2 linked regions of the Diceros bicornis minor genome follow. The protein of the gene in region 1 purifies or fractionates together with the protein of each later gene. This does not show direct contact. Links are inferred from orthologs where the notes say so. Each region holds a gene or a part of one and is shown on either strand. Other genes may lie near its edges.

Evidence for each region.
Region 2: the proteins of TESK1 (region 1) and RABEPK purify together in Homo sapiens (affinity purification with mass spectrometry; 3 studies listed by BioGRID and IntAct, with this or other methods). This does not show direct contact. The link is inferred for Diceros bicornis minor from reciprocal best matches to the Homo sapiens genes TESK1 and RABEPK.

Annotation. Positions count from the first base shown.
Region 1 is NC_080767.1:4,054,238-4,058,144, forward strand, and holds the start of TESK1 (dual specificity testis-specific protein kinase 1), read left to right. Parts: upstream 1-861; 5' UTR 862-1,033; coding exon 1,034-1,252; intron 1,253-1,364; coding exon 1,365-1,486; intron 1,487-1,616; coding exon 1,617-1,665; intron 1,666-2,178; coding exon 2,179-2,325; intron 2,326-2,638; coding exon 2,639-2,721; intron 2,722-2,891; coding exon 2,892-2,982; intron 2,983-3,231; coding exon 3,232-3,315; intron 3,316-3,466; coding exon 3,467-3,556; intron 3,557-3,695; coding exon 3,696-3,810; intron 3,811-3,907. UniProt on the Homo sapiens protein: Dual specificity protein kinase activity catalyzing autophosphorylation and phosphorylation of exogenous substrates on both serine/threonine and tyrosine residues.
Region 2 is NC_080767.1:33,602,845-33,606,751, forward strand, and holds the start of RABEPK (rab9 effector protein with kelch motifs), read left to right. Parts: upstream 1-1,137; 5' UTR 1,138-1,469; coding exon 1,470-1,484; intron 1,485-2,291; coding exon 2,292-2,350; intron 2,351-3,907. UniProt on the Homo sapiens protein: Rab9 effector required for endosome to trans-Golgi network (TGN) transport.

The sequences.
Region 1 (3,907 bases):
GGAGGGGCGGGGTCTTGCCGAGGGTAGGATCTCGCGGAAGGAGGGGCTTCCCTGCAGGAGGAGGCTTCTCTTTGGAGAGAGGGGGTCGTTTGGAAGAAAGAGCGAGAGGAAGGTCCAGGCGGGCGGTCACTGGGCGGAGGCACTGGAATGCGACCTTTATTCGAGGGAAGCGGGATGGAGTGAGGAGGAGTCGGGGCCACGCCGGGGCTGGGCCGGCCAAGGGCTCACCGCAGCCCCGGGGCGTCACGGCCGCCCGCGAACGTGGAAGGTGTCGGGGGTCCAGAGGTTTCAGGAGTAGGGCGGAGACCGGGAATGGGCCGGCGGGGCCGGGGCGGCGGGCAGGTTGCTGGGCGGCCGCCGACTGTGGCTGGGCCTGCGGGGCTACTGTTCTGCCCCGCTGGTCGGTGGAGCGGAGACAGCGGGCGGCTCCCTGAGCCCGGCCCTCAGCCGACAGCGTCCTGAGGACGGCCAGAGACATCCGAGCTGCGCGTACGCACAAGCAGCCCACCGTTCCAGTCAGTTATTCCGCTCGAGCCTGAACTTACTTGACCCCGACGCCCCAGCCCCGCTCGCGTCGCGGCCACCGGTCGCGGGGTGCGCACCTGGGGGGCGTGGCGCTGCCCCGAGGCCCGGCTCGAAGGAGTTAAGCGGAGGCCCGGCCCAGCCCCGCCCCCAGCAGGCCGCGGAGCCTGAGCCCCAGCGGCGAAGCGCAGAGCCGCCGCCCGCCCGCCCGCCTCCGCCTGCGGGAGCCAGCCCGCCTGCCCGCCGCCGCCCGGAGCGCCACCGCCGCCGCCCGGCCCAGGCCAGGCCCAGGCCCAGGCCGTGCGCAGAGAGGAGCGGCGCGGCGTCCGCCGGGCCCAGCGAGCCGGCGCGGCGGGGGCGGGCCCAGGACCTCCGGCGGACCTTCCATTCTCCGGGGCGGGAGCGGAGTCCCGGCGCCCGATCGGGCTGGGCCCGCGCCCATGGCTAGTGGGGCCTGCCCGGGCCCCGGGGACCCTGCCATGTGAGGCAGGCCCGGGCTGGGGGCCCGGCCATGGCCGGGGAAGGCCCCCCACTGCGGGGCCCTGGGCCCGGGCCGGGAGAGGCGCCGGGGGAGGGGCCCCCGGGGCCGGGGGGCGCGGGCGGAGGCCCGGGCCGGGGCCGCCCCTCCTCCTACCGGGCCCTCCGCAGCGCCGTGTCCAGCTTGGCGCGCGTGGACGATTTCCACTGCGCCGAGAAGATCGGGGCCGGCTTCTTCTCTGAGGTCTACAAGGTAGGACCGGCAGAGAGGGCAGAGGGGCGGGACCGAGCCTTAGACGGGAGGCTGGAACTGAGGCCGGACTGGGGCGACCCGCCTGGGACTCGCCGGCCTCTGCCGCCCCCAGGTTCGGCACCGACAGTCCGGGCAAGTCATGGTGCTGAAAATGAACAGGCTCCCCAGTAACCGGGGAAACACGCTACGGGAGGTGCAGCTGATGAACCGGCTTCGGCACCCCAACATCCTAAGGTGAGCGGGCCCCAGCCGCTTGCTGGGAAGCTTGCTGGGGGAAGGGGAAAGATCCCGCCGGAAAAGTGGGAACTGTGGAGGGACTGGGGCTCTCACAGCCTGCCCTCCTATCTTCCCCATCCTCTTCCAGGTTCATGGGGGTCTGTGTGCACCAGGGGCAGCTGCACGCTCTTACAGAGGTGAGGATGTGCCAGGAAGCCCCCCCCCCAAACAAGGGGAGAGAGAGTCAGCAGCCCAGTGCATCTGCAGAGGAATAATGAGAAGCAGCAGGACCTTCTCCCGGGGAGGCTTCCCTGAACTTCCCTTTGGGCAAACCACAAATAAAAGGCCTCAGCTGGTCCCATCCTCTGTGTTCTCTAGAGCAGTGCTGTCCAATAGAACTTTCTGCAGTGATGAAAATGTTCTATATACCTGTGGTAGCCACTAGCCACATGTGGCTAAGGAGCCCTGGAAATGTGGCTAGTGTGACTGAGAAACTGAATGCTTAATTTTATTTAAAATTAATAATTTAAATAGTTGCACATTTATTGGACAGGACAGCCCTAGAATATGAATGGGGGATCCTAGAGCATTGGACTCACTCTTCTCACCTTTGCAATCCTCCTGAGTGTCCCCTGGCTTATAAGTGAGAGACGGAAACTACAGACTGAAACCTTGACATTCATTCCCCTTCTCCTCCCCCTATGCCACAGTATATGAATGGGGGAACCCTAGAACAGCTGCTCAGCTCCCCCGAACCCCTATCCTGGCCTGTCAGGCTCCGCCTGGCTCTGGACATCGCCCGTGGCCTGCGGTACCTGCATGCCAAAGGGGTATTCCACCGAGACCTCACATCCAAGGTAGGCTGGCCAGGTGGGTGGAGGCATGAAAGGGGACTTGAGACTATTAGGTTGTAACTAGCCCATGGATGTAGGATGTTGGAGTAGCAAGGCATTGGAGAATGGGGGTCTGGGGTGAAGGGGAGTGCCCTGAGGAAGTGAGTACCATGCTGTGTTTGGAGCGATGGATGATGTTGCAAATTGGGGTGCATGGGAGGACTGGGAGATAGAAAGGGTTGGGGTGACTCGGGAGTGACAGGGCTTTGCAGTGTGTATTAGGAGATCAGGGAGCAGAACGTGATGGATGTGTGGGGATGCTATATGTGTATGTCAGAACTGTCTGATCCGACGGGACGACCGAGGCTTCACAGCTGTTGTGGGTGACTTCGGCCTGGCTGAAAAGATTCCTGTGTATAGGTGAGGTGAATGCCCCTGTCCCCCCAAACCTCCCAGGAAGCCCCTATCTAAGTGAAGCCCCCAGGGACACTTCCCTTGGAGTGGGGAGGGGGCTGACCTCATGCCCTTTTGTTTCCGGGGGGGGGGGTCTGAGTGGGATGTTTCTGACCACTCTGCCCCTGCTCCTACAGGGAAGGGGCAAGGAAGGAGCCATTGGCTGTAGTGGGTTCTCCGTACTGGATGGCTCCAGAGGTGTTGCGGGGTGAGCTGTATGATGAGAAGGTAAGACATCGACCCTTCAGACCCCCAAGGCCTTCCAGAGACCCTTGAAATACTTACAAGGCCCCATCCCAAGTTCCTCAACAACCCTACCAGATATTCACGAGACCCTCAAGATCCCCCTTGCCCCTCAAGGCACCCCTCCAACACATGAAAACTGTCAAGCCTCCCCTCTGAATTCTGACATATTCTGACAAAATTCTGACATGAAAACTGTCAATTTCTCCCCCTGACATTTACTCTTACCCCCAGGCCGATGTCTTCGCTTTTGGGATCGTCCTCTGTGAGCTCATTGCGCGAGTACCAGCGGATCCTGATTACCTACCGCGTACTGAGGTGAATGATGTCTCCGGGTTTGAAAGGAGGAACTCCAGACTGGGCAGCTCGTAACCAAGGAGGGCTCCCTGGAGGTTCAGGTCCTGATTAGGGGGCAGAAGGAGAACCCAAGGAAAGCTGACTTGGAGGCCCCTCCTCTCTGTCCCCGCAGGACTTTGGCCTGGATGTGCCTGCTTTCCGGACCCTTGTAGGGGATGACTGCCCACTGCCTTTCCTGCTCCTGGCCATCCACTGCTGCAGTGTAAGAGCTCCCTCTCCCTCACTGCCCTCCGCCCCCATCCATCAGCTGACAAGGCTGTCCTGTCCCAGCTGATGGGAGGAAAACTCAGGGACCCTCTTTGGGAGCACTGAGTGAAGCTGCCCCTGTCTCTACCTATCAGATGGAACCTAGCACTCGTGCTCCCTTCACCGAAATCACCCAGCACCTGGAGTGGATCCTGGAGCAGCTGCCTGAGCCAGCACCCCTCCCCAGGGCTCCCCTGACACACAGTCAGGGTAAGTGAGCATGACCTGACCCAGCTGAAGTCCTTTTGCCTCTTTCCTCCTCAGAACTCAGGGAATCATCTGGGGGAGACTAAGCATATTTATTAGT
Region 2 (3,907 bases), about 30 Mb from region 1:
GCTGGAGCCTGGGTTTGAACAGGAGTGTGTCTGACTGCTTCCCACTCTGCTACCACAGCTCTGGACTCCAGGAGCTCCTGCGGTTTCCTTCCTTAGCGATTTCTTCTGTTTCCTAGGACACGACTGTCCCAGTCCTCCTAAGTGATCACCAGGGTCTCTGAAACATAGACATAGGTGAGCCACCTCTCCATTTTCAGGAAGCCACAGGGCCATGGTTATGATGGAGACCAGAGATAATGCATATGAACACGTCTAACTCAGGGCTGGTGTCTAGAGTTCATTTATAGCTAGGAATAGCACCACACTTTACAGAGGACCAGCTCTGCGCTGCGCACCGAACACCTTATATACATGAATTAGCTCATGTATTCCTCATCACCTTGTGACAACAATCTTATTAGCTCCATTTTACAGACAGACGCCCAGAGAAAAGTAACTTCCTCAAGAGTAGATACTCATGGATGAACTTTTTATTCCTTGCACTTTTTACAAATGTATCTGGTTATTGCTTTTTCTGTTTAATCTCTCTCTCGAGTTAGATGGTAAACTCCAGGAGGCCAGGGGCCATGTCTGTCTGGTTCAGCATAGTGCCTGCCATAGTTACAAACACTAATTATGGGATGTCAGCTGTTTAAGGCGCCAAAGCTTGAACTGGCCTCAAGACTTCGCAGGGAGATTTCACACCGAGGAAAGCATCCTTAAGTCTCCCTTTCAGAAACCATTTCTAACACCCGCTGGAACTGAAAATATCCTAGCCCCTTTAGGACAGCCCAGCCGTAGGAGTAACTTGGGTCCCCTAAGTGGACGCCCAACCCCTGGCATCTCGCTTGCAGTCGTTTCCAAGTAGCCCTGGCTTACTTACTCCGCCAGGGAGAGACGGCCCGGCCTGTCAGGTTCCGAGAAACGCGCAGACCGACAACACCCCAGACCCGGAGGGCCCCGCCCCGGCCGTGAGGCGAGGAGCAGGGGAGCGGTTGGCCGCCGCGCTCTTCCGGGGTCTCGGGGCGGGGCGAGGGCCAAGACCCGCCCCCATTGGGGGCGGAGCCACGGCCCGGGACTGGCCTGAGCCGCCGCAGGTAATGCGGTCTCCGGACCTAGGGCCCCAGGGTCGGACGCGGTGCCGGGCGGGGGCGGCCGCTTCTTTAGGGGGATGGGCCCAGGCCCAGTGGAAAGCGCTGGGGAGGGCGTCCTCGGACTCCAGCTGGGCCACTTGGACGGCAAGGAGCCAGTCTACTCTCTCCCGACCCTGGCTCCTGTCCCCTTTCGCTGCCACGCGGGGTTGGGACTGGGGGATGGGACTGGCAGGGGCGGCTGTAGGACGTCCCCGTCCATGCGAAGTTTACCCCCGTTGAGCTCTGGGCTTTGAGAACAGCCGTCAGTGGCTAGGCTGAAGGTTGGGTTTATGCATTCATCTCTCAGAAATCTCATCCATTTTCTTTCTTCATTCGCTCCTCCCTCACGTCTACTCTATGCCAGGCCCATTGGTAGGTTCTCTGAATGAATCCAGCAGGCCCAGCTCTCTTGTAATTTAGTCGAGTGGAATTTAGTCTAGAATCTGGTCTAGAGACTGTTAAATAGATAATTACCTTCAAGGTGATCCCTGCAATGATGGTGGCTTGATAGATATCTTCAAAGGGAGAAGGAAGTAACGGGGATGTAAGTGGAAAGCAACAAATCAGGGAAGGTTTTACTGAGGAGGGGACATTTGAACAGGGTTTTGGAGGTTGACTAGGAGTTTGCTAGTTGACAGGAAGGGAAAGGACTTTTCAGGTAGGAGAAACAGCACAGGATGCAAGTTATGAAATGGCCTGCCACATTAAAGGAACAACAAATGTAGCAAGAACAGCTCAATATAGCAAGAAATTGTGGAGGTGGTTCCTGAAAAGAATGTTGAGACCAGAAGGCTTTGAATGCCATGCTGAGGCCAGGATTTATCCTAGAGTTCAGTATTTCTTAAACTTTTAAATTATTTTATCTTTTGATAAACATAAACATCTTATGACCTCTGAAAATTTATTTTGATATTATATGCCCCTTCCCATGAAAATCACAGACATAAGAAAACTTTGGCTAAAAAGCTTCTGTAATTGTGTTAAGAAAGCTGTGTTACATTTGCCTCCCAAATATGTTTATATCAAAAGGTTGGTAATGCTTATTCAAATTAATCAGTCCCTAGAAATTGGTACATCAGCAGGAGAGGTTTTAAAGAGGAGAGTGACTTCATTTCTTCTGTGTTTCAGGTAAAAGATAATCGTGAATGTCTATAAACTGCCTTTCTTTCTCATGCATAGGACACCATGAAGCAGCTGCCAGTCTTGGAGCCTGGAGACAAGCCCAGGAAAGCAACATGGTCTGTAAGGAGGGATTCAGACAGAGAAAAACATGAGTTTTTGTTTCATTTATAAGTAGTTTACTAACATATTTGATCATAAATGAAAAAGAGTAGAGATGAAACTGTCTGCGGTTTCTGGTAATTAGACTCAAACTGTCTGAGAAGGTCTTCAGAGGAAAGATAGTGGGACAATAATGATCACAGAGCAGATGTTGATTTTATTAAAATCCATTTACCAGGAAGTGTAAGGCACTGACCATCTGGCATCCTCAGCTCCAACGCTGTGTCTTCCCCCACGCTCTGACTCATTTTTAAGATTTTCAGGGAATTGGATTTGAATTAAACTGGCTTCCCTGTCTCTTGGCTGCTTGCTCAACCAACCCTTCATTCAGCAACTAACACCTGCCTGACAGGGGCAGCTGCTGTGTGGGTGCTGCAGGTACAAAGGTGAATCGTCTCAGTGCTCAGTGTAGTGGGGGCTACACACTAAGCAGGTGATGCTTATGCAGTGTGATCAGTGCTGAAGCAGGGCTCACAGAAGGCTGTAGAGAGGAAGCTCTGCTTCTGCAGGACCTCGGAGGAGAGTCTCTGTTCTGGCCTTCCTGCGTCCACTCTTGCTTTCTGCCCAACAGAAATCTGATCACGACATTCTCTTGTTTAAAACCTTTTGTGGGGCCGGCCCTATGGCTTAGCGGTTAAGTGCACGCGCTCTGCTACTGGCGGCCCAGGCGCACACTGACCCACCGCTTCTCCGGCCATGCTGAGGCGGCATCCCACACATAGCAACTAGGAGGATGTGCAATTATGACATATAACTATCCATTGGGGCTTTAGGGGAAAAAAGGAGGAGGATTGGCAATAGATGTTAGCTCAGAGCCGGTCTTCCTCAGCAAAAAGAGGAGGATTAGCATGGATGTTAGCTCAGGGCTCATCTTCCTCACAAAAAAAAAAAAAAAAGAAAAAACCTTTTGTGCCTCTCTGTTGGTCTTAGGATACAAACCAGAATCCTTAAAATGGCCCACTGAGCCCTGCATGATCTGTCCCTGCCTGTCTTTCCAACCTCAAATCCCCTTCTCATCCTTTGTTCTCTTTCTCTTCCTTGCATGCCTTGCACTGTGCCACTCAAGAACTGTATATGCTGGTCCCTCTACCTGGAGCAATTTTGCCCTCTCTCCATATTTTATCCCTCTCTGCCCAGCTAACTTCTACTCATACTTCAGATCTCAGTTCAAATGGAAGCCTTTTCTGACCATCCTCCCTCCCCCATCTCTCCCCACAGGGTTAGATCCCCCTATGATATGTTCTCCTATTATGTATCTTGTGTATATCCCATACTCCTTTATAGCACAATTGAAATGAAATAGATATTTGTGAAATTATCAGTTTCATGTTTCTCTTCCCAACTAGTCTGTCAGGGCTATGAAGGCAGGGACTTTTTTTGTCTTATTCCCCATGTATCTGGATGGCTCTGTGCTCTTGGGTAAGTTATTTAACCCTTCTAAGCCTTGGGTCCTCAGTTGTAAGGCTCAGATGATGACAATAGTACTGTCCTCAAAGGGGTTTTGTGCAGATTAA